Cricetulus griseus: one gene and its partners. The protein of the gene in region 1 purifies or fractionates together with the protein of each later gene. This does not show direct contact. Links are inferred from orthologs where the notes say so. Each region holds a gene or a part of one and is shown on either strand. Other genes may lie near its edges.

Evidence for each region.
Region 2: the proteins of Cul4b (region 1) and Cops7a purify together in Homo sapiens (affinity purification with mass spectrometry; 6 studies listed by BioGRID and IntAct, with this or other methods). This does not show direct contact. The link is inferred for Cricetulus griseus from reciprocal best matches to the Homo sapiens genes CUL4B and COPS7A.
Region 3: the proteins of Cul4b (region 1) and Ubxn7 purify together in Homo sapiens (affinity purification with mass spectrometry; 3 studies listed by BioGRID and IntAct, with this or other methods). This does not show direct contact. The link is inferred for Cricetulus griseus from reciprocal best matches to the Homo sapiens genes CUL4B and UBXN7.
Region 4: the proteins of Cul4b (region 1) and Cops9 purify together in Homo sapiens (affinity purification with mass spectrometry; 3 studies listed by BioGRID and IntAct, with this or other methods). This does not show direct contact. The link is inferred for Cricetulus griseus from reciprocal best matches to the Homo sapiens genes CUL4B and COPS9.
Region 5: the proteins of Cul4b (region 1) and Dcaf4 purify together in Homo sapiens (affinity purification with mass spectrometry; 9 studies listed by BioGRID and IntAct, counting the BioPlex papers as one, with this or other methods). This does not show direct contact. The link is inferred for Cricetulus griseus from reciprocal best matches to the Homo sapiens genes CUL4B and DCAF4.
Region 6: the proteins of Cul4b (region 1) and Tmem43 purify together in Homo sapiens (affinity purification with mass spectrometry; 3 studies listed by BioGRID and IntAct, counting the BioPlex papers as one, with this or other methods). This does not show direct contact. The link is inferred for Cricetulus griseus from reciprocal best matches to the Homo sapiens genes CUL4B and TMEM43.
Region 7: the proteins of Cul4b (region 1) and Dcaf1 purify together in Homo sapiens (affinity purification with mass spectrometry; 9 studies listed by BioGRID and IntAct, with this or other methods). This does not show direct contact. The link is inferred for Cricetulus griseus from reciprocal best matches to the Homo sapiens genes CUL4B and DCAF1.

Annotation. Positions count from the first base shown.
Region 1 is NC_048604.1:28,526,136-28,530,374, forward strand, and holds the start of Cul4b (cullin-4B), read left to right. Parts: upstream 1-1,439; 5' UTR 1,440-1,557; coding exon 1,558-1,585; intron 1,586-2,312; coding exon 2,313-2,891; intron 2,892-4,239.
Region 2 is NC_048601.1:21,450,495-21,454,729, reverse strand, and holds the start of Cops7a (COP9 signalosome complex subunit 7a), read right to left. Parts: upstream 2,801-4,235; 5' UTR 2,658-2,800; exon of another isoform or gene 2,634-2,657; intron 2,431-2,633; exon of another isoform or gene 2,139-2,430; 5' UTR 2,091-2,138; coding exon 1,929-2,090; intron 1,588-1,928; exon of another isoform or gene 1,487-1,587; intron 1-1,486.
Region 3 is NC_048597.1:57,160,551-57,164,050, forward strand, and holds part of Ubxn7 (UBX domain-containing protein 7), read right to left. Parts: intron 3,233-3,500; coding exon 3,086-3,232; intron 870-3,085; coding exon 779-869; intron 1-778. UniProt on the Homo sapiens protein: Ubiquitin-binding adapter that links a subset of NEDD8-associated cullin ring ligases (CRLs) to the segregase VCP/p97, to regulate turnover of their ubiquitination substrates.
Region 4 is NC_048595.1:444,129,406-444,133,502, reverse strand, and holds the start of Cops9 (COP9 signalosome complex subunit 9), read left to right. Parts: upstream 1-1,297; 5' UTR 1,298-1,367; coding exon 1,368-1,430; intron 1,431-2,996; coding exon 2,997-3,069; intron 3,070-4,097.
Region 5 is NC_048598.1:120,191,814-120,195,011, forward strand, and holds part of Dcaf4 (DDB1- and CUL4-associated factor 4), read right to left. Parts: intron 3,052-3,198; coding exon 2,972-3,051; intron 1,711-2,971; coding exon 1,609-1,710; intron 1,481-1,608; coding exon 1,383-1,480; intron 469-1,382; coding exon 295-468; intron 1-294. UniProt on the Homo sapiens protein: May function as a substrate receptor for CUL4-DDB1 E3 ubiquitin-protein ligase complex.
Region 6 is NC_048601.1:52,332,943-52,337,225, forward strand, and holds the start of Tmem43 (transmembrane protein 43), read right to left. Parts: upstream 2,801-4,283; 5' UTR 2,586-2,800; coding exon 2,574-2,585; intron 1-2,573. Other genes in the region: Chchd4 (mitochondrial intermembrane space import and assembly protein 40), read left to right, coding at 3,150-3,171. UniProt on the Homo sapiens protein: May have an important role in maintaining nuclear envelope structure by organizing protein complexes at the inner nuclear membrane. Required for retaining emerin at the inner nuclear membrane.
Region 7 is NC_048597.1:215,042,882-215,046,381, reverse strand, and holds part of Dcaf1 (DDB1- and CUL4-associated factor 1), read right to left. Parts: intron 415-3,500; exon of another isoform or gene 396-414; intron 278-395; 5' UTR 270-277; coding exon 160-269; intron 1-159. UniProt on the Homo sapiens protein: Acts both as a substrate recognition component of E3 ubiquitin-protein ligase complexes and as an atypical serine/threonine-protein kinase, playing key roles in various processes such as cell cycle, telomerase regulation and histone modification.

The DNA of each region.
Region 1 (4,239 bases):
ACTGACTTTTCAAAGGTGGGTTTCTGGGGTAGTACTCAGCACGTGGACTTTTTCCATCCAAGCTGTTTGCTGTTTTTGAAGTTACAATGCAGAAACATTACGTTGGCAACTGTAGTTTTCTTTGAGTTTGTCTCTCCTGCTGAGAATACCCTAAGATTAACCTTTTTGTTGTTTTTGAGTCTGTGCAGCCTAGCCTGGCCTCAAAGCATCCAGCCTCGGTCTCCAGAGTGCTGGAATGACAGGTATTTGCCAGTGTACTGGCTAAAATTGCCCCCCTACCCAGATTAAGTAAAAAGTCCTAATAGAGATTTTCCAAGGTTTATTGCTGGTAACTTAACCAAATTTCGAGCTTTTTTTCTTGCCAATAATCACATATAAAACTTGGTCTCAGCCGGGCGTTGGCACACACCTTTAATCCCAGCACTCGGGAGGCAGAGGCAGGTGGATCTCTGCGAGTTCGAGACCAGCCTGGTCTAAAGACCTAGTTCCAGGACAGCCTCCAAAGCCACAGAAAAACCCTGTCTCGAAAAACCAAAAACAAAAAAACAAAAACAAAAAAAAGTTGGTCTCATAGCTGGTTGGTGATGGCACTCATCTTTAATCCCAGCACTAAGGTGGCAGAGGCAGGTTAATCTCTGTGAGTTCGAGACCAGCCTGGTCTACAGAGTGAGTTCCAGGTCAGCTAGGGCTGTTACACAGAGAAACCCTTTCTGGAAAATAAACAAGAAAACCCCAAACAAACCAACCCCCCCCCCCCAGAACAAAAAACAAACTTTATCTCATGGGATGCACTAGCAGGGAAACAGACTTGCCAATACTGCCTCTAAACTGAGAGTTGGTAAATGAAGGAAGGTGTCAGCTTTATTTGGTCCTCAAATTACTGAGTTAGTGACTGATAGTGTGTGAGGTTGGGCGGACCCTGAAATTTTGCTGGGTGGGGCTGTTATTTGGCCTTAGAATGTACCCCTACTCCCACCAGCCATCTTAGAAAATGCTCACGGTGGATAAGGTAACAGGATTTACAGCTGTTATTACTGAGACAATGAAAATGAGGGCCCTGTGGGATATTGTGTCACTGACAAAAGTGAGAAATGTGTTGCTCCACTGAGTCCAAAAAAACTTTTCCTGCCAGCTGAGCTTTCTCCACTCTCTGACCGTGGTGATGCTCGTCTGGAGCAGTAGGTATGCTTAGGTTCCCCTCTTATTTGGGGGTCACTCCCAGGGCCTTGCAACTAACTCCTCGGTCCATTTTCTCTTTCAAAGTTTCCCTTCCCTTACTTTTTTTCTTCCCACCCTCTTCTTTTCCCAGCTAGCTGACCCCGCCTCTTGCACGCACCACCTACTCGGCCTCACGGGAGACTTCCCGCTTCTTCTCCCGGCCCCCCTACCCCTATCTGCCCGCCCTCCTCAGGTTCAGAAACCTCCAATCAAGAGCGCCGAAGGTGTCGCCAAGGCCCGCCCTGTCCTCCCTATCCACCTCTTTTACCCCCCTTGTTCCCTCCCCCACCCCCCCCACCTCAAGTCCGGCGGACTCGGGGGCTTCAGGAGCTGGGAGCTATGAAAAGTGTCTGTCCAGGCACTTCCGGTAAGGACGCTGTGGCTCGGAGCTCCCCGCGGGCTCCTTAAGAAAGGGGGTGACTGGCGGCGGGGAGCCCCGGTGAGGAGGGTGCTGGCAGGGAAGGGGTGCGGGAGCGGGAGCTCGTGCAAGCTGCCCGGTGCGAGCATCCCCGGTGCTCCAGTCAACCCCGCGGTTCGCCGGCGCCCCCGCCTCCCCGGCGCCTCGGGTCCTCCTCCACCCCCCACTCCGCGAGGGTGACGCCGCCTCTCCACGGGCGCCGCGTGACCGGAAGTGGCGCCATCTTTAGCCTCTTGTGCTATTGACAATAACAAGCCTTGGCTCGCTCCCCCTCCCCCCTCCAGCCCTGCGTCTCCCCTCCCCGAGAGCGAGGAGGGAGAAAAGGAGGAGGAGCTGCAAGCTTCACTGGCTCGCTGAGTCTCTCCCGCAGAAAGTGGGGGAAGAGAGACGGAAAAGCAGAGGAGGGGGACGGCACGGCCGTTTACCTGTCTGCCTCCTTTGCTTCCCCCCTGCCTCGCTCTCCTTACTGCCGGTGTCAGCCTATCTGCCTTCCCAAGCCCTCCCATTCCCCCCGGTGTGCCCCCCCCACTTTCCTTCTCGTCCTCTGTGTTTCTCCTCTCTTTCTTCCCTTCCCCCTCCAGCATTGCCAACCTCTCCTCCACGCACGCAGGCACATTAACGTAGGTTTTTGATGCTCCTCTGCCTGTTGACCCCGCTATTTTCATGTTTCCAACAGGTTTTTCTTCCCCCAATCCCTCTGCTGCTTCTGCTGCTGCTCAGGAGGTCAGATCTGCCACTGATGGTAATACCAGCACCACTCCGCCCACCTCTGCCAAGAAGAGAAAGTTAAACAGCAGCAGCAGTAGCAGCAGTAACAGTAGTAACGAGAGAGAAGACTTTGATTCCACCTCTTCCTCTTCCACCCCTCCACAAGCTAGAGATTCGGCGTCCCCTTCAACCTCGTCCTTCTGCCTCGGGGTTCCAGTGGCCACTTCCAGCCACGTACAGATACAGAAGAAGCTGCGTTTTGAAGACACCCTGGAGTTTGTAGGGTTTGATACGAAAATGGCTGAGGAATCCTCCTCCTCATCTTCCTCATCTTCGCCAACCGCTGCAATCTCACAGCAGCAGCAGCAGCAGCAGCAGCAGCAGCAGCAGCAGCAGCAGCAGCAACTTAAAAATAAGAGTATATTAATTTCTTCTGTGGCTTCAGTGCACCATGCAAACGGTCTGACCAAATCATCCACCACGGTCTCTAGCTTTGCTAACAGCAAGCCTGGCTCGGCTAAGAAGTTAGTGATCAAGAACTTTAAAGGTAACCAAGGCCAAAATCCATAATCACCTACTAAGAATTTGACACGTGAGCAGTCACGTGTGCTATATATGTTAGGATATCAAACAGTATAGAGGTCGCCTAATGTTTTATGCATAATCAATGAGTGGAAGGGAGGTCCTATTTTTGGTGGAGGGTTCTTTTTTCTGGGGTGTTTGTGGCCTTGCTCTGAAGCACACTCTTTAGTGTTTGCATACAGTGTTTTTTGAGGTCTGCCTCAGCCCATTATATCTAATGTGTTGTTCTTTAAAACATCGGCAGTATGATTGATCCGGATTTTTACAGGTGAGAAACTTGTCTTGTAAAGAGGTACATTTCAGGTGCATAGTGAGTCTTGGCACTACTGAGGTTTGTATTTTTATAGGCCACATGCTCCAGTCCCTAAAAATGCAGGTACCAAGGTTGATCGTTTTATGTTTAAATGAGATTTATAGTTAGGTTCTTAGTGTAGAGTACTGTATTTGTGAAACTCACTGTGGAAGGAATATTGGGTGAAAAAAATCATTTGGGTTTCTGAATTTCTTCCCAAAGGTAAAGTCTGAAAATGAAAACTACTGTGTATGCACAGAAGTAGTCTAGATTCTATCACTAATCTAAAGATAGAAACAGTGAACTACGTCTTTACCTCACCAAAAGGGGCATTTCAAGTATTGACCTGCAGCTACTAGAAAATTTTGCGCACCCCGTGCTTGAAATTACTGATTGAGAGTGTGATGCATGCACCAATGAAAATATAAGCAGCATTTAAAATTTATTTGAGCTAAGTTCTTATCTGTTGAATGTGTTTTTCTGATTATTTTTCACCATCCTCAGCTAGCAGGTAATAGATGCTAGACTGTTTATTCAAATGGGGATGTGAATGAATGGGGAGAATTGGTTACTCTGCTTGTGTTTGAAACGTTGGTGCGGAAAAGGGCAATGTGCTATTTGTCTCACCAAATAGTATTGTCTATTTTTAACCCTTTTTTATATGACCCTCTTTCTGTCCTCAGGCTCTTGAGAGTTACCTTCTTTCTGATTTACTAGTAGAGCTTTTGAAAGTGAATATGAACTGTATTTACAAATTCATTCATTACTTCACTTAAGACAATGATTTAATAGGGAAGGATTTTTCAAGAAATGAGCTGTGATTCTAATTGCATTTGCAAATTGATTTTAGACACTTTATTTTTCTTTCTCCTGAAGGCATTAAAACATTTGGATTCTTTAATTTGCTTCACTTATTGCTGGTGAATGAAGTTTAAACTCTAGATTAAGATTTCTTTCTGTTCTGAAAATACTGCATAGGTTCTGGAGTCATTTGGGTGTTAGTTTGTTTTTAAATTTTCGT
Region 2 (4,235 bases), on another chromosome or scaffold:
GATGCAGCAGAATTGCAGCCCTCAAACTAAACTCTTGCTAAATAACTGTCTTCCACAGTTTCATCCATTTATCTGATCTCTTTAACTGAATACAAGCTTGAAGGGCAAACCTGTAGCCTTATATTTTGCAGAATACTAAACACTGTAAGGCAATTAGAAAATGTTTCTTCTACTTATCTTAAAACTATACTTTAGTTCACTGTAGATAAAATCAGGAACAAAAGATAGCGCCAGTTTTCTATAAACGGCAACCCAAAACACATTATATCCTCTAATTCAACCAGAGGCCTCTTAAAACTCGGCTCAGTTTAGCCACACTACTGTTAGCCTCTCAGGACAGAGGCCAGTGACACAGTGTTGGCCATCCATTTGCTCTATACTTCAAGCTCTTGACTGGCCATTTGTTATTGATGCTCTTTGCTGTGTTCATAGCAGTTTACCATTGTCTTTGGGAAGAAGACATTGTCTTCATTATCTACCATAAACGAATTTGTATATTCGACACTTGGGGAGGTAACATAGCATGATAATATGCTCATCTTTACATTTTTAGGAGGCTTTAGACTTTCCCATAATTTTACTTCTGTAATTGTTGAGAGGCAGTACTTTTTTCCTTTTTGCAGTTCTGAGAATCAAGCTATAGAGAGCCTTGCATGCTATAGACAAGGGCTCTTTCACTGAGCTACATCCCTACTCCTTTTTGAGATGGACTCTAAGTTGCATAGGCTGGCCCAATATTTGTGATCCCCCGCCTTAGCATCCCAAGTTCTGAAAAGGACCCCGAGGCCCCACGAATGCTAGGCAAGCACTCTTATCAACTGAGTCATGTTCCAGTTTCTCATCACCATTTTTAGGAGAAAAGTGAGCCTTTTAATAAGGTTTCTCTGATCAAGGTGACATTTTTTTTTTCTTTTTGTTTTGTTTTGAGACAGGGTTTCTCTGTAGCTTTGGAACCTGTCCTGGAACTTGCTCTGTAGACCAGGCTGACCTGGAAATCACAGAGGTCCGCCTGCCTCTGCAAGTGTGTGCCACCACTGCCAGGCCTTGGTTTTTTTTTGTTGTTGTTGTTGTTTTTGTTTTTTTTTTTTTTTGAGACAGGGCTTCTCTATGTAACAGCATTGGCGGGCCTGAAACTCATTCTGTAGACCAGGCTGGCCTCTAACTCAGAACTCCACCTCCCTCTGACTCTTGAGTGCTGAGATTAAAGATACCCCTCCACTACTGAGCTGGTGACATGATTATTAAGAGGTATCACACTGGTGGACAGGCTGAACTTACAAGCAGTATTCTGAATGGCATGTACTTTTGCTTATAAATTAAAAAATCCAGCTGGGTGGTGGTACATGCCTTTGGTTTCGGCACTCAGGAGGCAGAGGCACTTGAATCTCTGTGAGTTCAAGGCCAGCCTGGTCTACAAAGCAAGTTCCAGGACAGCTACAGTTGTTACAGAGAAAAACCTTGTCTGGAAAAACAACAAAATCCTTGCTTGCTTTGGCAGCACATACACAAAAAATGGAACGATACAGAGATCAGCATGGCCCCTGAGCAAAAAATGACACGTAAATTCGTGAATCGTTCCACATTTTTAAATAAGAAAAAAATTAAAATCCGGCAGAAGGCCTAATAGGCAGGAGGATTGCCACAAGTGCAAGGCCAAGCCAGACGATGACTACTACTACTAGTCTAGGGCAGCCGGGTCTTCACAGAGAAACCCTGTCTCAAAAAGATGTGTGTAGAGGGAGGGGACGTTAGATTTACAGACCCCCTTGATCTCCAAAGAGAAATGAAAGACCTTTATTTAACTGGTGGTTAGTTACCAACACCCTGTTGACCTGAGTGGCTTACTGGTTACAAAACGAGCCCAGGCATTCTTGGAAGAAACTTGGGCCCCAAGGTTCTCGGTTGGACTACCCGGGCAAGCAACCCACCTCTCTAACATTGGGCATATCCAGCAGTTCCCCAAACACGTAGACACCAGGGGCCTCCAGCACCTGATGGATGAGTGTGGCCAGCGCTGCCCCCTTGGCCGACTTGGCAAGGAGCAGAAACTGCTCCTGGTTCTGCCCTGTCACCTTCACCTCGGCGCTCATGGCTGCACTGAGGTGCGGGGGCTCGCTCTGGTCTCAAGTTGTCTGGAGCTGCAAGGAAGAGAGGATCGATCGTGAAGCTCAGGGGCCCGGGGCACTGGCGGGGACGGGTCAGCTCGAGGGCAGGGAACCGCACTCCAGAGGCAATCAGTAAGCCAGCCACCTCTGCAGTGAGAAATCGGGTCAAGAGGTCTTAAAAAAAAAAAAAAAAAATCCAGCTCTAGCTTCCTTGGAGTGGGCCGCGGCCCGGCTGCCACGCCCACCCTGCGCGGGGGTCCGGGGCCTAAAGGCAAGCCGCCCCGCGTGCACCCCGCTGGGCCCGCAGGCAGAGGCGGCAGAGGCGGCAGAGGCGGCGGCGGCGGCGGTGAGGGACGCGGTGGCACATGGTGCCACCCTAACGACGACGCACCCCCGCCCGGCTCGGGACGCGTGTGCTGCACGTGCCCGCGGCCACGTGACCTCACCCCCCGCGCTCGCGGCTCCACCCCTCCCTTAAAGAGGCCGCCCAGGACCGGCGGCTCCGCACCGGAGGGGCCGGGCTCGTACCCTGGAACCGGCCGCGGCCGCTACCTGGAAGCCTCGTCCTCCAGCGCACGGGGCGGGGCGGGGCGGGCGAGCGGGCGGGCGGGCGAGCGGCCGCTCCGTCACCTCCGGCGGCTGCTCCCAGCCTTTCCTGCCACCTCCCGCAGGGCCGCTCTAGCCGCGCGCTTCTATGGGCAGCTTCCGGCCGTCCTTCCGCTCTCGGGAGGCGGCTTCCGGGCGGCTGGGGCCCGCTTCCGCTTTCCGACGGCGGCTCGGGACGAGCGGGCTTCCGCTCTGCGGAGAGAGGGTTCTCGGGGGAAGAGCGGTGGGTGCGCGGTGCTGCGAGCGCGGGGAGACGCCGGGGCCGCCGGGACGCCCCCCACTCCCCACCCCACCCCCCGGGAGCTGCAGGGCGGAGCCCAGGGCAGCGCGGAGTTTCTGGGCGACTTAGCGTCGCAGGGACGCGTGCCCGAGTTAGTGGTAGACGCGGCTCGGGTAGTTGAGCCACGCGTGTTTTTAAGAAGAGGAGTTTGGTTTTTTGGTTTTTTGGTTTTTCGAGACAGGGTTTCTCTGTGTAGCTTTGGAGCCTGTCCTGACACTCGCTCTGGAGACCAGGCTGGCCTCGAACTCAGAGATCCTCCTGCCTCTGCCTCCAGAGTGCTGGGATTAAAGGCCACGCCCGGCTAAGAAGAGGAGTTTTAAAAGGCAAAGGGGCCCCGAGTGGTGGCTCATGCTTGCTTTTGCGAGGTAGAGGCGGGGTGTGGGGGGGGTATCCAATCAGGAGTTCAAAATCAGCCTCAGCCATATAGCACCTTCCAGGCCAGTCTGGGCTATTTGAGAACCTGTCTCAAAAGGAAGCAAATGGTAAAGCGGGGGAAATGGATTGGTCGGACTTTTACCGTTTTCTTCCGTGAAGTTTTCAGAGCTTTACTTGGTGACCACACTTGTGTGGCCTTGGTTACCACCCAGTAGTCCTTATGTTTTGACGACTGGAATCTCAGTTGACAGGAGGAAAGTGTTAGTGGAACGGAGGCAGGTGAGGAAATTTAAAAATTAAAAGGGTTTAGATGGGAGCTGGGCGTTGGTGGCGCACGCCTTTAACGCCAGCACTCGGGAGGCAGAGGCAGGCGGATCTCTGTGAGTTCGAGGCCAGCCTGGTCTACAAGATCGAGAGTGCCAGGATAGGCTCCAAAGCTACACAGAGAAACCCTGTCTCAAAAAACAACCAAACAAAAAAGGGTTTAGATGGGCACTTGTAATCCCAGCATTCAGGAGACGGAAGCAGGGGGATTGCTTTGAATTCGAGGCTAGCCTGAGCTACAGTGTGAGAGACCCTGCTTTAAAAAAACTTTAAAATCTTGGGGTGGTGGTGCACACCTTTAATCCCACCACCCGGGAGGCAAGGCAGGTGGACTCCTCAGTTGCAGGCCAGCATCATCTGCATAGGGAATTCCAGGGTACCCAGAACTACTACATAGTGAGAGCAAGTCTCAAAAAACACAACAAAACCCAAAAATCCTTACAGAAAACTTTCAATGTAAGGTAAAGCCAGATGTACTGGTGCATATCTGTAATGCCATCACTCCGGAGGCTGAGGCATACGAATAGAAAGTTCGCATAGAATGA
Region 3 (3,500 bases), on another chromosome or scaffold:
TTAAATAATTGCCATATGCATAGTTAAACTTTGCTACAAATTCATATGCCCATCCCTCACTTGAAGTCACACAATATTGTTGTAACCTACTGACAACATCAATTACAACTCATTGATAGATTCCCACCTATGACAGGAAAATTATCTGCTGGCACCACTTACAGCCATTTAGAAAAAAGAAATTCAAACAAAGCAAAATTTAAATAAAAATATTAATGATGAAATCAGCTCATCCTCTAGTGCTTTTAAAAGAATACAACCAGTACTTAAAATAATCTTAACAATTTAATAATAGAAAAACTAGGGCTGGAGAGATGGCTCACAGGTTAAGAGCACTGGTTGCTCTTCCAGAGGTCCTGAGTTCAATTCCCAGCAACCACATGGTGGCTCATAACCATCCATAAAGAGATTTGGTGCCCTGTTGTGGCATGCAGGCATACATGGAGCAGAATGTTGTACTCTTAATAAATAAATAAGTTAAATCTTTAAAAAAAAAAAAAAAACAAAAAACAAAAACCTAAGGTGACCCTTACAAAGAGATGATTGTATCAGCCCCCACTCCCAAGAACAGAACTGCACAAACACAAAACATTGTTACCCATCAAGTTGCCAGAAATACAGTCCCTAAATATACACATCCAAGGGTGTCTACATAATTATAATGGGAATAAACAAAAAACTTTCCTTAACTATTATATTTCTGGAACCAGATCCAATAAAATATTTAGGCACTGAAAAATAATTTATAAGTTAAAAGCTGTAATTTGATATAACTTACCTGTCCGTGGGTCCAAGATGGAAACATAGGGGAAATCCCCTAGTTTATAAAACTGAATGTATCTCTGACCTTCCTCGCTGTCGTGATAAACCTGGTAAGCCAATGATATAAAAAGCCTCTTTAAAAAAGGCTGGCTATAATACTGTCTACTAACAGCAATGGAGTCTCCATGTAAGCCTTTGACAAACATGCTAAATTCTCACTTGCATGTGAGAGTGGAAGTAAGGTCAGGTATGGACTTATATCCCACTCACAGTCCCTTCTGAACACTCATTGTCAACATACAAACCTATTCCTCTTCCCTTCTCAGTTCACAAGAGGTAATAACTCTTCCTTCTCAAGTATCTGTCTATCTATGGGGTTTTTTGTTTGTTTTAGTTTATTTTTGAGACAGGGTCTCACCATGTAGACCAGGCTGTCCTTAAACTCACAGAGCTCTGCCTACCTGTCTCCTAAGTGCTGAGATTAAAGGCATGTGCCACTATGCCTGGCACAGTACATGTATTTTAATAAATCACAATATATGTAGTTTAAAAACCCATCATTTTATTAGGCAGAGATGTAACAATATTTTCTTCAGTCAATATCTGAATTAAACAAAAGGAATTCTGCCATTAAAAAAAATAATCGGGGCTGGAGAGATGGCTCAGAGGTTAAGAGCACTGACTGGCCTTCCAGAGGTTCTGAGTTCGGTTCCCAGTAACCACATGATGGCTCACAACCATCCATTATGAGATCTTGTGCCCTCTTCTGGTATGCAGATATACATGGAAGCAGAATGTTGTATACAAAAAAAAAAAAAAAAAAAAAAAACACAATCACAGAGCTTGGCAGTGATGGTGTATGCCTTTAATCCCAGCTCTCTATAAATTTAAGGCCAGCCTGGTCTACAGAGTGAGTTCAAGAACAGCCAAGGCTATTATACAGAGAAACCCTGTCTCAAAAAAACAATCCCCCAAACAAACAAACCAGTCACAGAGGCCACCATGATAAAAGTGTTGCAGCAAAAGTCTGACAACCTGAGTTTGAGTCCCAGAACCCAAATTCCAAAAGTTGTTCTCAATCCTCCATACCACATACCTATACCCATATAGCACACACAAATTTATAATAATAATAATAATAATAATAATAATAATAATAATAATAATAATAATAAAAACAGAAAAAAACACAAAAATCCCACTGAATTTATCAGACTATAAAACACAAAACAGGTAAATTAATAGCATTAATAGTAGTATATCTTAGAATAAGAAAATATTAAGTTTAAGTTATTTTTTGTAACTTTTTAAAAACTAGAAATTGAAACTGGGCCTGCCTAGACTATAATTCCCAGCTACTCAGGTGTCTGAGGTCAAAGGGTCACAAGTTGAAGGCCTACTTGGGGTAGTTTCAAATGCTAAAAAGGAGGTGAACACCTTTAATCTCAACACTCAGAAGGCAGACACAGGTCAATGTCTGGGTTTAAGCCAGCCTAGTCTACAGAGTGAGTTCCAGGGCAGCCCTGTCTTGAAAAAACAACAAAAACTAAAAAGGAGGATGGAAACTGGCTTAATGGTAGAGCATGTGACTAGCTTGCAGGAGACTCCAGGTTGAATGTCAAGTAGCAAGCCTCTCTAAAAACCAAAAACAAACAAACCAAAAGAACAAAACAACAACAAACACAACCAAACAAAAAGACTGAAACAAAAGGGAAATTAGAAGGCTACCTAGTTTTAACTAGATAATCTACACAAAAAGATATTATATCTGGGACACTAAGGAATACTAAGCTAAAACACTAGTCAAAGAGTAACAAATTCAAGCTCAAACACAAGTTTTAGTGTTTCTCCAATGCTCTAAGATGTTTTCCTCATGGCTGTTGGCCTTGTAGGGCTATTCAACAGTTGAAGTTGACTAATCCATGCAATAAGCATGAAATACATACCATATCTTGAGAATTTAATACACACAGAGAGTAATGACATTAAATCATGTATTGATTTAAAGAAGAAATATTGTTAATTTCACCTGTTTCCTTTGACCCTTTTCAGATATTTCTAGAAATATGTAAACCATGTGTGCTTCCATTGTTTTTCTACTGAATTGTACAGCTGTAGACTGACTGTCAAGATGCTCCTGACTTAGTTCTTTTTTCTCTTTCCATTACTTCTTCACTGCTGCCCTTATCCTTACTATTTACCCATTACAGTTAACTTATGTCATAAATGAATTCACTTTTCCCAGTTTATAAACCCATTTCTCTTCCACAACATCCTATATTATAAAAATAAATATTAAAAAATCTTTAATAGTCCTTCTCACCTGCCAGAAAATGAAATGTTCCCGGATAATATTCTTCACAGCTTCATTGCTCCACACATCACGGTTGAGGCACTGGCATGCAAAGTCTTGTACATTTTGAATGTTTATCATCAGCCACTTATTCTGCATCTGGCCACACTCTTTGGCCTATAAGAGTAAAGTTAAATATTTTTTAAAAAATAGTTTCTAGCCAGACAGTGGTGGTGCATGCCTTTAATCCCAGTGCTTGAGAGACAGAAGCAAGAGGATCTTTGAGTTTGAGGTCAGCCTGGTCTTCACAGTGAGTTCCAGGACAGCTGGGGCTACACAGAGAAAACCTGTCTTGAAAAAAAAATAAAAAAAATTTCTACTTGGTCACTGGTATATTTCAGCATTCAGGTGCTGTCTTTTCCATGTAAATACTAAGCATTCTTTT
Region 4 (4,097 bases), on another chromosome or scaffold:
GGGTGGGGGGCAGTGACTGCCCAGGACACAATTCCCATTATATCTTAGCTAAGTCAGTTTCCCTGGAGCTGGCGTTTCCCTTGACCCCCATTCTCACTCTAGCAGCCCAGACCCTAAGCCCTTGACTTCTCAAAGCTGTTAAAGGAAAAACACCACTGTCACCAACTCCACCCCCCCCAAAAAAAAACCCAGTCCCTGAACACTATAAAATCAGAGTAAGGGAGACCATCCACAGCCATGTGACAGGTATAAGAGTCACAGCCTTGAACTGCATGGAGAGACTTGGCTCAAAAACATCAGCAAATAGGGCCTGGCAGTCGAGGAGTGGGTTTGAGGTAGATAGGAAATGGCTCAGGAGTAACAGGGGTTTTGCTGAAGGCAGGGTCTGATGACACGGTCTAGGAATAGTACAGGGTGATGGGCCTTACATGGCATGGAGGGCAGGCAGGTGGCAGTTGGTTTCAGGCTTCTTGCTGCATCGACTTCACAGGGATATTTGTTAAACCTGGATCTTACAAGGAGGTGCACAGAGGGTCCTAGGGGAACATCCAGAAGCCTCACTAGAATCTTCTAGACTGTCAGAGTATCTCAGGCTTGCTCTCCCGGTAATCCCCCTCCATCCCTTCCTCATCTTTACCCTAAAACATACCAAACTCTCAGTGAACAGTCCGGGGATATAATGCCTCCCCCCACACACTTCACTTTGCAGATCTGAAGCTGTCCGCTGAACACCTGCCTCTCCTAAGCCACCACACCGCAGCATTTCTAGGAGTTTCACTGCCCTGGGGATCTCGCATGAGTGGGATCACAGCGTTTGTTTTATTTCACTTAACAACATCCTCAAGGCTCACCCGTGCCCATGGGTTAGAAATCCCTTCTTAAGGAAGACCCCATACTATCGTACCACGTGGATAACTCCTGTTGTGGTTTCGTCTGCGTTCACCTCTTGCTTCCTCCTCTTGGCTGAGGTGATCCTGAGCGATTTCCAAGTGAACCTAGGCTGGGATTCTGGGTCGCTGCCACTGTGCACAGCTTTTAGATTTCTGCTAACCCTAGCAGCCTGGGGGTCCAATCACCCCGGGACCTTCTCGCTACCGCATCACGGGCTGCGGCTTCTGTATAGTAGCCAATCTGATGGTTTAGAACTGCATCCCTGTTGGAAAACAGTCTCCTTTCTCCACCGGCCACTGGTGCTCGCGGGGTGCTTGCTGCTGGTCCTAAACCGGTAACCTGCTGCCCTTCCCTGCTCAGGAGCCGGGTCGGCGGGGCACCACCGAGGCGCGGTCCTCCGGCGTCTAGACCTGTTCGGAGGCACGCCGGAAGTGGACGGGGCTGGCCGGAAGTGAGCGCAACGCCGCAGCTCGGAGATGAAGCCGGCGGTGGATGAGATGTTCCCCGAGGGAGCGGGTCCCTACGTGGACCTGGACGAGGTGGGGCTGCGGCAGTGCGCGGCGGGGCGTGGGGGCGGGAGCGCGACCCGCAAACACGCGCCCCGGGGGAGCCTAACGCCGCCGGCGGCTGGGGAGGCGGAGCTGGCGGTGACAGTCGCCGGGCCCGAGGCTGTGCGGCCGACGGGACTGCAGCGAGCTAGTCGGGGTTGCTGGTGGACAGTTCTCCGACCCGGGCTCCTGGCAGATCTTCCCAGCAGAGACTTAGGGGCTGACGGGGGGAGGGGCAGGGCCGATGTGTGGCCTTGGTGTGCTTTGCGCTGGGTCTCGGGTGTAGACACAGTTTTGGAGCGGCCTTGTGTCTGTGGCCTCCGTCGTGGCCACAGAGCGATTTTATCCGGGGCAGGCGCTCCAGTGAGGTGGTTGTGATCAGGAGTGCCAGTCAGCTCTTGTGTATCAAGCCTCTTGCTCCCCCCAAAACTCAGCGAGCAGACAGATGCTCGGATGCAGTCCCTGTCCACGGGATTTTGGTTGGCTCAGCTTTCCCTGAGCCGAATGGAGAAGGACTTGCCCTGGTTTCATGTGGACATGTATGAAAAGAGCCATAGGAGCAGAGCTCTGGAAGAGTTGATGCTCCCTGGACACAAACAGGAGGGGACACCATCTAATTGGGCACAGAGGGGAGGGAACAGGCAGGGCCACATGATGAAGCCTGCAGAACGAGTATGGGCTCCGTGATCCACTGCCGAGGCCGTTGCGGTCATACTAAGGAGAGACAGGCCGATTTCCTGTGGAGGTTGGTCCACAGGAGGGTTTGGAATTTGTAGGGAGACAGTAGAGAAATGGAAACAGGAAGAATTAAGACTTGAAGAGCTTCTGAGTGAGGCAGTGAAGGTAGGGGGAGCTTGGTCAGGGTTTCAGAAGCAGAGTCTGTGCGGCTTACTGTGGCGATGGGACTGGGGAGGGAGGCCAAGCGTCCAGAGAGCAGATTTGAAAGGGAACAGAGGAGGTGTTCAGCCTTTTGAGAACCAGGAGGGGGTTGAGCAAGCAGCCTTGGGGCGTTAGGGCCCAGGCAGGAAGGGGCCTGGGGCTAGCTGTCCCGAGTGCTGCTGCCTGAATGCTCCCACCTTCTGGGTGACTAAATGGCACAGAGTCCCAAGAGTATAATTGTATCTCATAAATCAGGTGGCTGTCCTGGAGGGTCCTCAGAGAGCAGCATCCCAGACCTCAGGGCTGGGGTGGTCACCGTCCCAAGGGGAATGGCTGCATTCTCAGAGGGGAGGGTCTAGAGTAGTTACTTGGCTTGCTGCTGCACTGTGTCCTGTGGTGTCTTGAGGGAAGGGACTGAAGACTCCAGCAAGAGAGCACTACACACGGCAATGCCAAAGAAGACTCAAGGAACACGGGACCTCAAGAGACCTTTAAAATAATTTGCTTGGCTTCCCCATTCACACTGCTTCCTTTGTCTGGAAAATTCTGGCTCCAGTCTGAGCATTCTTCCCGTCACTCACTGTTCCGTTCCAGGGAGGAGGGATGGATATGGTAATGAACCTACCACCTGCTTTTAGAAAACAAACACACGGAATGACCTTACCTTTCATTCTCCAGGCCGGAGGGAGCACCGGGCTCTTGATGGACTTGGCAGCCAACGAAAAAGCAGTTCATGCAGACTTTTTTAATGGTGAGTGTGGCAGGATTGGGTGCCAGGCTTAATCTGAGTTTCCCCTGCAGTGGGCAGCTTTGTGTCATGGATAATTTGGATCATGGAGCAGAGTAGCCAAGATCTTATTCTCTTCTCGGTACTGTGCCAAGTGTATGGAGTCACCTGGCTGTTAGCTCTGGCTGTCAGCCCTATTTGAGGGGAAAAACATGAACTAAATCCCTCCCCAGCTCACTACCCAAGGTAGCATATGCAAATGGACACAGTGATTTATGGTCTGTATCCCAGACCTGGGTGCAGGGACCTGCATGGCTCTGTCTTCCCTCTACTGTCTCCTATTGGTGGCTTGTTTCCCTGGGTCACACCTGTTTGCCCACCTGGATTCTCATGTCCTGTGCTGCCTTTGCAGAGAAACAGCTGAGCTCTGCTTGAGCTTGCCCTGTGTCTGAAGTCATGATGGAGGGCATGCCTCCATCGCATAACAGAGCTGTCTTGGTTACAGTATTTTACCAAACAAACAGTGAAAGCCGACTGAAGAGTCTCCAGGCATGTGGCAGGGCATGTTTGGTACCTCCCATTCCTCTGACTTCTGAAGGCCTCCTTCCTACTGGTTAACCCGTACATAGGGTTCAGATGGCAGCTGGGAATTTAGGATAAGTTTCCCACAGGGAGGGTAGTAGCGTTTCTCCGTTTCATCTCACCTGAACTCTGTGGTGCATGGTTCTCCAAAGAACCAGACTCATCCTGCCATGTGCATTTCTAGCTTACTTGTGGCCCAGATGGGTTTGGGGGCTCATTGGCTTGTGGTTGCTGCTTGTGTGGGGATGCCACCTGTCAGATGGGTGCTTTCCTCACTGGGGACATTGCTTCTTCCCAGCTGCTGTCAGAAGCGGGGAGGGGGATAAGTAGAGGGAGAGGTATGACACATAACACCGGAACCTTCGAAGACATTCTCTAAATTCTGTTCAGGGAGTAGATGGTGCAGGGCTACTGAGTGTTCCCAGCGCAGCCTTGTGGCACCTTGGTCTGTGGCAGCTCATGGTACTTGA
Region 5 (3,198 bases), on another chromosome or scaffold:
GGTTACTCGGGAAGGGTGTACCAGGAACTCGGCGACTACCAGGTTTGAAGCTGGAAGGGCGAGGTGATCTCCAGGGGCCTTTTAGATTGTGGAGACTGAAGCCTCTAACTCCTAAAGCTTGAGTCCATCAGAATCACAGAGCCAAAGGCTCTTCTGCACTTCTGTCTAGGCAAGATTAAGCTCATGTGGAGCAGCAAAAGGACTTAGGGTAGCCCCTACCCTGGTGTCTTGGTGTCAGGGTCTCTTACAGACCTGGACCCTACCATTCCGAGGCCTGAAGTCAGGCTCTCCTACCTTTCCAGCCATGTCTGATGCCATCACGTATTGCTCTTCCTTAAGGACCCGTACAGAGGTCACTGCTGAATCATGGAAGATGTGGGTGGCCTTCCAGCCCTTGGCTTGACTTGGAGAACGCAGGTCAATGGCAAAGATCTCCCCAGAACGACAGCCATTAAACAGTAAAGGAGTCTGTGGAGAGAGAGGTAGTGCCCAGCTTTTACCATTGGCCCCTACGGATGGAAGGGTGTGTCCTGCATGAGGGTTGGGAGGAGTTTTGGTCTCAATGGACCCAGAAGGAAGGCAGAATTCTTGTGAGAGGGTAGAAGACATGGACCCTGTGTCTCTCCAGTGTCTACCCTGTGGTGAACCTGTAGGTACTTGGAGGTAGCGCCATTGTCCCCTTAGGCTTCTTTTCTTCCTTTTTATTTTCATTTTTTTACATTTTGGTTTTTTGAGACAGGGTTTTTCTGTAGGTTCTGGAGACTGTCCTGGAATTCTCTTTGAAAACGAGACTGGCCTTGAATTTATAGAGATCTGCCTGCCTCCTGAGTGCTGGGATTAAAGGCATGCCCTGAGTGCTGGGATTAAAGGCATGCGCCACCAACACCCAGCTCTTATTCTTTTTTTTTTGAGACAAGTTTTTTCTGGGTAGCCTTGGCTGTCTTGGAATTCACTTTGTAGACCAGACTGACCTGGAACTGGCAGATCTCCAAGTTCGAGGCCAGTCTGGTCTACAGAGCAAATCTTGAAAAAAAAAAAAAAAAAAAAAACAAATTCTGCTGGGTACGGTGGCACATACCTTTAATCTCAGCACTCAGGAGGCTGAGGCAGAGGGATCTCTGAATTCAAAGATAGCCTGGCCTACAAGTGAGTTCCAAGCCAGCCATGGCTACATAGTGAGTTTCTGTCTCAAGGAAACCAAACCAAAACCAATAAAAAACAACAACAACAACAAAACAAAACAAAGTACCCACTGATCATTCCCATGCCTTTTTTATTGTAAAAAGGCGGGGCCCAGATGATATACTAGGGAAACCCAGTGTCACTCCCGAAAACATTTCACTCTGGGAACGTTCTGTTACACCCTTCCCAATCCAACCAACCTTGACTGCAAATTGCTGAGCCAAGACATCACTGTTGGTTCCATACGACTGCCGGTGTCCTGTCACCACGTTGGTCAACAGGACCCTTCGAGACAAACCTGGTGGAAACAAGAAATGGGTCCCTGAGACCAGGGATGCTGGCAGTCTAGGAAGAGGAACTGGTGGGTGGGACCTTCAGGTTTGTGGAGTTCTTTACTTGACACCCAGGGCTATGGCTATGGCTCACCTGTACTGAAGCAGTTATTGGCCTGGGTGTTCAGGGACCAGGCACAGGACCAGGCACCAGGGATCCGGAAACTGCAGAGAACGCCGGGCTGGTCTGTACCTGCTAAAAGAAACAAAGGAAAACAGGGTCACCTGTGGTGATATTTTGTTTATGATCTTCCAAATAAAGATTGCCTGAAGATCAGATGTCTGTTCAAGGAGCAACTCATGTTCTCAGTCCAGACTGTGGCATTTGTAGTGCTAACAGCTGGGATGGGGGTGGTGTCGGGAATGTGGTTTCAATCCTTGTCCCAATACCAACAGCGTGCTCAAGTCAAACATTGAAAACTATGAACTGACAGAACATCTCGAGGGGTAAATCCAGCCATGTGTCCACCACTAAGACACACCAGTAGCCCAGGAGCCTCCTTCACGTCCTTTTCCAATTTCTATCTCATTTCATATGGTTTCCTAAGGGAGTTACTATCAAGACTTCTAACATTAAAACATGAGTTTCGTGGGGCAACATTTTTTTTTAAAGATTTATTTATTTATTATGTACACAGTGTTCTGCCTGCATGTATGTCTGCAGGCCAGAAGTGGACACTGGATTTCACTACAAATGGTTGTAGTTTCACCATGTGGTTGCTGGGAATTGAACTCAGGACCTTTGGAAGAGAAGGTACTGCACTTTTTTTTTTTTTTTTTTTTGGTTTTTCGAGGCAAGGTTTCTCTGTGTAGCTTTGGAGCCTATCCTGGCACTCGCTCTGGAGACCAGGCTGGCCTCAAACGCAGGCAGTACTCTTAACCACCGAGCCATCTCTCCAGCCCTCCTGGGGCAAAATTTTGACCCACTCCTTATCTGTAAAGTGGTAAGATACACGCCCCTCAAGTTTGCAGGGCAGTGAGATGCTGACAGGGCTAAATGCTCATGGCCTCCTTTACCTCCACAAGGAACCTGCTGGGGTAGGCACTGCCTCCATCTTCCAGAGGTCATGCAATATGGTTGAATATGGGAATGGAGTAGCTGTGCTCTGGGTTAGCTCTGCCTGATGTCTGCAGACAGCATGCAGAGGTCTGTCAGAAGAACCAGTCAAACTGCTTCCAGCAAGCTAGCCGGCATGCCTCCAGCACTTGGGAGCTTAACCAACCACAGGCTGCAGCTCAGACCAGTGTTTTGGTGTCTTGTGCTAGCTAGTCACCTGCACTTTGGTTGCAGAAATGACTTCAAGGGGTTTATAAAAAGTAGCAAAGTCTAAGATGCAGTGATCCTGGGACAGACTTTGGGAACCCTCCCACCCTGCAGCCTATCCCAGCCCATGTGCTTAACTGGGGTCATCCAGAGGACACAGGGCTTTCTCAAGACAAAGGAAGGGACTCTGTACCTTGGTGATTACTGACGAACAGTGATGCTGGGAGCAGGGTGGCGCAGCCTGGTGTCTCTGCAAGGCCCATGAGGCATAGCCTGCAAAAAAATCTGTTAAGGACAGCCAGGTATGGACAGAGCCCTCTTCTGGGAGAAGAATGGCCATCAGTAACTTTCAGGAAATTATGAAACACAAAGGAGGGTGGAGAGTCCAGATATAACACTTTTTACACTTCCCACATCCAG
Region 6 (4,283 bases), on another chromosome or scaffold:
CCTTCTTGCCCAGGATCAGAGGATAGATTTGGGTCGGAGTCTATGAGCACAGCAGATGCCACTTCTGGCTGTTCTCCACTGCTGGCTCAGGACACCCACTGAACCCAGAATGACACCATCAGAAACTTAGTGGAGATAATCGCTGCAGACAAGAAGGTGACCATGAGCCAGCTCATGGTCAGTCATGAGCCAGCTCAAGGTGGAAGAGGCTAGCACTACCCCATTTCACAGGTGAGGAAATCGAGACTCACTGCTTAGGATATCTGCCCAGATCAAGCTTATGTGTAGTGAGTAGGTGCTCAAATCCAGCAAGATCCCTCTGCCCTAGACTGCCTTCCTCATTGCTTAAAGTGACCTTAGCTGTAATGTGATCTGAACAATTGGAAATAGAAAAAAGGAAACCTGTGTTTTTCCTGTTCTTCCTAAGCCCAGGAAGGGATAGAAGCCAAGAGGATATTCCTCCAGCTGGGGGAGGGGTGAGATGGCAAATGGTACCTATATGGGAATATGTATTTGCATGTGTATACATACACTTATGTATCCTCCGTAACGTATTCTGAGCACACTGGGCTCAGAATGAACAAGCAATGAAGCAACAGGTGGGAACACACTAGGCCTGGAAATTGGCACACCACGGTTGGAATCCAAGCTCTGTTGCTGTGTGAGCCTGGTAACATGCTCCACCTCTCTGGTCCTGGTTCCTCACTTGCTGGTAATAATACCTACCTGACAGGTCAGCTGTTATTCTGAATCTAGGTGCCTGTGCTCCACCCACTGTCTTTAACCCTGCCTGGTGGCTCAGCTCTAGTATGAATGCTCTGGTCCTCTGTCCCCCAGGCATGACACAGTCATTGACATCTTGAAATAAGAACAGCTTTGATTGTCCACATGAGCCCCTCACATGATCAGGCATGTTTTCTGGAAGAGTGGATGAGATTCCAGCCGATCACCTCCTCCTATGTCCCACCCCTAGCAGTATATAGCATTGCTAGGGTATACAGAAGGCAGAGGCTAACTGAAGGGGGGGCTGGGAGCAAAGGGGATGACACTTCATCTATGCAGCTTTCCAGGGGTGGTCCACCTATGCTGATGTGGGACTTTGGTGAGGTAGCTGTTTAGGGGTTACCCATGCTCCTGCAAGTATGCACAGTTCACCAAGATAGAGTTGGTAGGATTGTTCCTTTGGTCTATGGTTATCCTGCTGACTGAATGGATGTTCATTCAAGTCTTTCCAAGAAAGTAATGTAACAAATAGGCAAAGGCATGGCTACTGAAGAGATCCCATTGTGTCTATGTTTGCTGGTATGAGAGTCAGACTCCAACATCCCCGAGATGGTCTCTGCCTACCAGGACTGTGGGTACTAGCCTGTAAGAGTGACGTTTCCATGGGTTAAGTACCTCCCATGTACCAGGCTCTGTGCCTAGCAATCTTCCTCAAACTTCAAAGTAACTGATCCCATGAGACAGTGAACCCAGAGAAGTTAGAGTGGAAGAATCTGGATTTGCCTCTAGCCTGCCCTCATCACCTTCCCAGGCTGGTGCTGTAGCATATACTGGCCTAGCACCCCCGAGCCGGTGTCTTCTGCTGGGGAACTGTAAAAGATGATGATGATGGTGATGGTGATAAGCGCCATCATGAGTCCACCTGCTCCTGTTAGGCTGGTCTACAGGGTGCCTTCTCCTCTGGCTCCAGTGCAGCTTTCCTAACCTCTGGTTCTCCTGCCTTCCAGGGCCTGACAATGTGCCTTTGCCTGGGCAGTGGGTCCCACAAACTCTGGCCGCTCCAGGGGTGTAGGAGGCCAAGAAGAGGTTTGCCGGACAGAGGAGAGGCCTGGGAAGAGGGGGGCAATGACATTCTACCAAGGAGGGAGAGAGGGTGTGCCTGGGGTTGGCAGCACTCCTGAGCTGGCTTCAGAGGCACTTTCACCAGAGGCAGTGGTGAGTCACCAGCTTCTCCCACACCCAGTTCCCTAGTAAGTGGCGCTGCTCCGCTTGTTGAATGAATGTTCGGATTCACTAGTAAAGTTCTTAAGGACTAGTTGCAGTAGGAAGAAGCCAGAGACCTGGGGGATGTTGGGGACAGGGGGAGAGGTTATCCTCAGCCAGGGTCTCTTACCAAATAAGTGCACCAGGGACCGGACCGTAGAGAAAGGCCTCTCTCTCTTGGTCATCCGGCCAGGCTGGTCCTGCTACAGAAGCAGCACAGCCTAGGTGTACACACCCCCTAGGGCACGGAGGTCAGAGAAGCCTTTGCTGGACAGCTCCACCTGGCCGGAATCGCCTCACCAATATGCCCACCGAGAGACACTTTCCTCGCGGTCCTTCTCCCCAAGTTTCATACCCCAGGGGCCCAGACAGAAACTAGGAGTGGAAGGAGCAACCACGCACGAGCCGATTCGACTTAGAGGAGCGCTCCACAAACGTGCGGCCTGAGGGTGAGTGGACAGGTGGACGAGCACAGGGAGATCAGGGTCGCCGCACCCACTGAGGTCGCATCGCCGAAGGACCCACCGTGGACCAGGGGAAGGAGTGTCCCGGATGATAGTGTGGTCAAGGGAACAGAAGGTACTCACGTTCGCAGCCATGGTGGGCCCGGCTCGCCTCCGCGGTCTAGCACTGCTCTGCTAGGAATTAGGCTGACGACCGGAAGGCAGAATGCGGTGACCTCCTCTCTCCTACCGCGCTGCAAGACTCCGCGTGGAATCCAGGACCTGGCAGGACTCAGGTCAAGAGTTACCGCCCCGCGGATAGTTGTCTGTGCCCCGCAAGTTGTCTGCGCGAGCACATCTCGAGGCCTGCTGGGAAATGTAGTCCGCTATCGGACACTTTCCGCCACAAAATTTCAAGCGCACCCAACACTTCACTGGTGCGCGTGCGCACTGCAAGATTTCTGGGAAATGTAGTACCTGCTTCGTTGGAGGGGCGCACGGGCCGCTGGGCAATGTAGTTTTCGGCTAAGGAGCGGCGCTGGTGCTTAGGAAGCTGGGAGGCAGGCGCGCGGCGGGCAGGCCTGGAGGGGGCGGGTCCGCGCGGGCTTAAGTGCCGCCCGCCAAGCCTGAGGAGAGGCGAAGGGAGGTCACTGCGTGAAGGTGTGTATCCGCTACGGTCGTGCTGAGTGCCTCCCAGAGCTGAGAGCGTCCGGAACAACCATGTCCTACTGCCGGCAGGAAGGTAGGTCGGGTGCTGCCATGGAGACCGCTCGGGCGCCGGCCTGCGAGACACACGCGGTCGGGTGGTTTCCATAGGGCGGCGTGGGCCCTTCGTGGGTTTCACGCGGCGGTTTCCAGATAAGAAAGTAGAGGCTCCGTGAGGAACTAGGCTGGTCCAAGGTCACCGTGACACTCAAACCCGGGCCTCGGAGGCCTCACGTGGGCCCTGCGAGTGCGGAGCATGTTGTATCTAGCTGGGAATTGGGGACTGTTAGGAATTAGTCACCATCGTCCCTAGCACGCCCCACGTGTTTGTATCTCGCTTAGGCTTTTTAATTATCCCGGGAAATTACCACTTGGGCTGGAATAGGCTGTGCTGCGTGGTGAAGCGCCTCTGGCAGGAGTGTTTATTGAGCTCCTCTTGTATACCAGGCACTCTTGAAACTTCACGTAGCGACCTTTATAAGTCGGGTTCTGTTATTGTTCGTGTTTTATCAGACAGTAAACTAAGACGGGTTACTCGGCCCTAGAGCCCATCGGGTGATGAAGCTGCAGTGCCAGTGGGGAGCCCTCTGTTAAAGGCCTTCCTTTCTACCGTCTCCAGCCACGTTGAGGACCACTCACTTGTCTGTTACTTGTGAGCTGCAGCCAAGAAGACTCCAGACTAGTCTGCACCTTAGCCTCTCGGCACTAATGGCTCCTTGTGTCTAAGCTGCTAGCAACCCCTCCAGGCCCTAGTTTCCAGTCTCGGCCATCGTTCATTCTAGTATCCACAAAGCATGTGCCCAGGGGAAAATTGAGTTGGAGGACTATTGGGAATACAAATAAAATTCTTGGGTCACCCAGAATTTTAGAATGAGTAGGCCAGCTTCTTCACTGTAGTCTAGGGAATCTGAGGGGTAAAGGAGGAACTAATCCACCCCAGGCTATGCATCCAATTAGAAGGCCCAGTTTACACCGCACAGCTGTTTCCTCCCGCCCTAGCAATTCTTGTCATGATTTTTGTTTCTTCCAAGTCTAGTGCAGTTTACCAGTTGGCAGGTTGATGTTGAGTCTTTGGGGTAAGTGTTATGATAAAGCTTGTGGGGAACTTTGGCGGATTCCATGGCAGGTGAGGTTGACCGAGGCAGAGGG
Region 7 (3,500 bases), on another chromosome or scaffold:
GCAGCCCAACATGGTGCTGGGAACCAAATTCTACAAAAATTACAGATGTTCTTAACTGCTCAGCCATCTTGCTAGCACCAATACACCTATTTTTTTAAATATAGTTTTGTGTATAGAAAAGAAAGACAAGTTTTGTGTGGAAAAGCAAATTATTCTTACCTGGTAAGGATAGGTACCATATCCTGCCCACTGCCATGGTCCTTTTCCCACTGCTCCAGCAGGGTAGTGAGCTCAGCTTTGGAGTCCACATGTACCACTACCGTAGTCATGGCTTGGCCTAGAGAAGTAAAAACAGTAAGAAATGAACAAAACAAACATATCTGACATAGTTGCCACAAAAAGAAAAGGATGGAGGTAGTAGGTAAGGGATAAGCTGGACTGGGGAGATGACTCACTTGTTAGCGTCTGAGGCCAGCCTGGTCTATACAGTGAGTTTTACTCCAGCTAGGGCCACAAGAGAGACCCTGTCTCCAAAATATGGGTGGGAGGGCACTGAAACTGAAGAGGTGATGGCTGCAATCAATTGTCAATCTACTAAATACCACTGGGTTGTAAATTTACAATCTTCCGGGATAGGGAGACAGGCTCTCATTAGTAGCTCCAGCTGACATAACCACCACATCAGGCTTACAAGTTGTTTTTAAAGACAAGATATGTATCCTAGGCTACTTTTGAACTTACTTTATATCCAGGAATGACTTTGATTTTCTGATTCTCCTGCTTCTACCTCCCAAGAGCTAGGATTAGAGATATATAACCACTACAGAGGTTTATGGAGTACTGAGGATTGAACTGAGCTTCACGCATGCTAGACGAGTGCTCTACCACATAACAGTCCAGCTCCTTTTTATTTTTTCCATATTTTAAAAGGTTAAATTTTTAAAAGAAATGAATAAATAAATAAGTAAATATAAAAGTAAGTAAATAAGCCAGGCGTTGGTGGCGCACGCCTTTAATCCCAGCACTCGGGAGGCAGGGGCAGGCAGACCTCTGTGAGTTCGAGACCAGCCTGGTCTACAAGAGCTAGTTCCCGGACAGCCTCCAAAGCCACAGAGACACCCTGTCTTGAAAAGCCAAAAAAAAAAAAAATAAGTAAATAAATGAGCCTCACCATGCCTTTAATCCCAGCACTTGGGAAGAAAAGGCAGGAACATCTCCGTGAATTCCAGGACAGTCAGGACTACATAGAAAGAGATCCTGTCTCAAAAAGAACAAGCTAGGCATGGGAATGCAAGCCTTTTAGTTCCAGCACACGAGAGGCAAACGCAGGTGGATCTCTAAGTATGAGGTCAGCCTAGTCTACACAAAATAAGCTCCAAGATAGCCAGGGCTTTGATAACCACCCCTCAACACTCCCCACCCCACCTCCCACACACCCCCCACACCCCCACTCCCCGCCCCAGCAAAAAAAAAAAAAAAAAAAACCTGTAAAGAATGCCCTTTAAGCAATCAGCCTTCTAGAATACATACACTGTTACAGCTTTCTGCTGCTTTCACTTACTTTTGGTTGGCAATTTTTGTTTTGTCCTTTGACAATGACAGGGATTGAACACAGGGCCTTGCTCAGGTTAAGTAAGAACTCCACTACTGAGCTACATCACTAACTCTTGGTTTATTCATTTTGTTGTTTGGTACTAGAATTCTAGAGTCTCAAATATATTAAGAAATCACTCTAACACTGAGCTATACCCCCAATATTTGTTTAGGGCTTTTTGTTTTTTAGTTTTGTTTTTTGGGTAGCTGATATTTTGGTTTGGGTTGTTTTCTTTTTTGTTTTTTGGGGAGGGGAGCATTTTGGTTTTTTTGAGACAGGGTTTTTCTGTGTAGCGCTGGCTTTCCTGGAACTCACTCTGTAGACCAGGCTGGCCTCGAACTCAGAGATCCACCTGCCTCTGCCTCCAGCACTGGGATTAAAGGCTTTCACCCCCAATACCTGACTTGTTTGTTTGTTTGTTTGTTTGTTTTTTGAGTGGTCTATTTGCCCAAATTGTCCTTAAACTCGCTGTCACCCAGGTAGACCTTGAGCCTTGGGTATTCTTAGTTCATCTTTGATTCCTGGGCCTTCAGGCCTACCACACTAGGCCCACTGTGGTAGTTTGAATGTAATTGGCCCACAAATACATAGGGAGTGGTACTATTAGGAGAAAGTGGCCTTGTTGGAGGAAGTGCTTCACTGTAGAGGTCTGCTATGCAGAAGCTATATCCAGTGTGGATACAGACTCCTTCTGCTGCGTTCGGATCAAGAGGTAGGATTCTCAGCTCCTTCTCTAGCACCAAGTCTGCCAGCACACCATGTCCCACCATGATGAAAATGTACTAAACCTTTGAAATTGTAAGCCACCCCGATTAAATGTTTTCCCTTGTAAGAGTTGTAGCAGTTGCCAGGCAGTGGTGGCGCACACATTTAGTCCCAGCACTCAGGAGGCAGAGGCAGGCAGATCTCTGAGAGTTCAAGACCAGCCTGGTCTACAAGAGCTAGTTCCAGGACAGCCTCCAAAGCCAGAGAAACCTTGTTTCGAAAAACCAAGAGTTGTAGCAGTCATGGTGTCTCTTCACGGCAATAGAAACCCTAAGACACTCATGTAACCCAAGGTTTGCTGGGTTGTTTGTTTGTTTGTTTTGAGACAGTGTCACTATGTAACTTGGGCTTGAACTCAAATTCATGATTGTTCAGCTTCAAGTTACATGAGTATTTAGATTACAAGCGTGCACCACCATACCTACTACATTAACATACTATTTTCAAGGTTCTTCCACATATTAGCACAATTTAAAGAAAAAAAAAAGTTTTTAGCACTCGGGAGGCAGAGGCAGGTGGATCTCTGTGAGTACGAGACCAGCCTGGTCTATAAGAGCTAGTTCCAGGACAGCCTCCAAAGCCACAGAGAAACCCTGTCTAGAAAAACCAAAAAAAAAAAAAAAAAAAAAAAAAAAAAAAAAAAAAAAAAAAAAAAAAAAAGTTTTTAAAAGCACAAGAAAATAGCTGGGGCCAGATGGTAGTGGTGCACACCTCTAATCCCAGCACTTGGGAAGCAGAGTCCTCTAAGCCACACTCTCTGTGATTGTCCATCTTCTCTCCACTCGAACACAGAGATGGAGACTGGCCTAGGGGCTTGGAAAATCCAGGCAAGGCTGGAACAGCTCATTTCCTGCATGAGGAAAATGCAGTCAAGCCCAGACCTCCTTTCTACCCCATTCCCCAACTGTCATTAAAGGCACATGCCTTTAATCCCAGCACTTAGAAGGCAGAGGCAAACAGATCTCTGTGAGTTTGAGGCTAGCCTGGTCTACAAGAGCTAGCGCTAGGACAGGCTCTAAAGCTACATAGAGAAACCCTGTCTTAAAAAAAGAAAACAGGGAGTGGACATGACACATGCCTTTAATCCCAGCACTTGGGAGTTCAAGACCAGCCTGGTCTATACAGCAAGTTCCAGGACAACAAAGAAACACCCTGTATGTGTGTGTGGAGGGGGTATAGAATGAAGGGGAATTCAAGGACA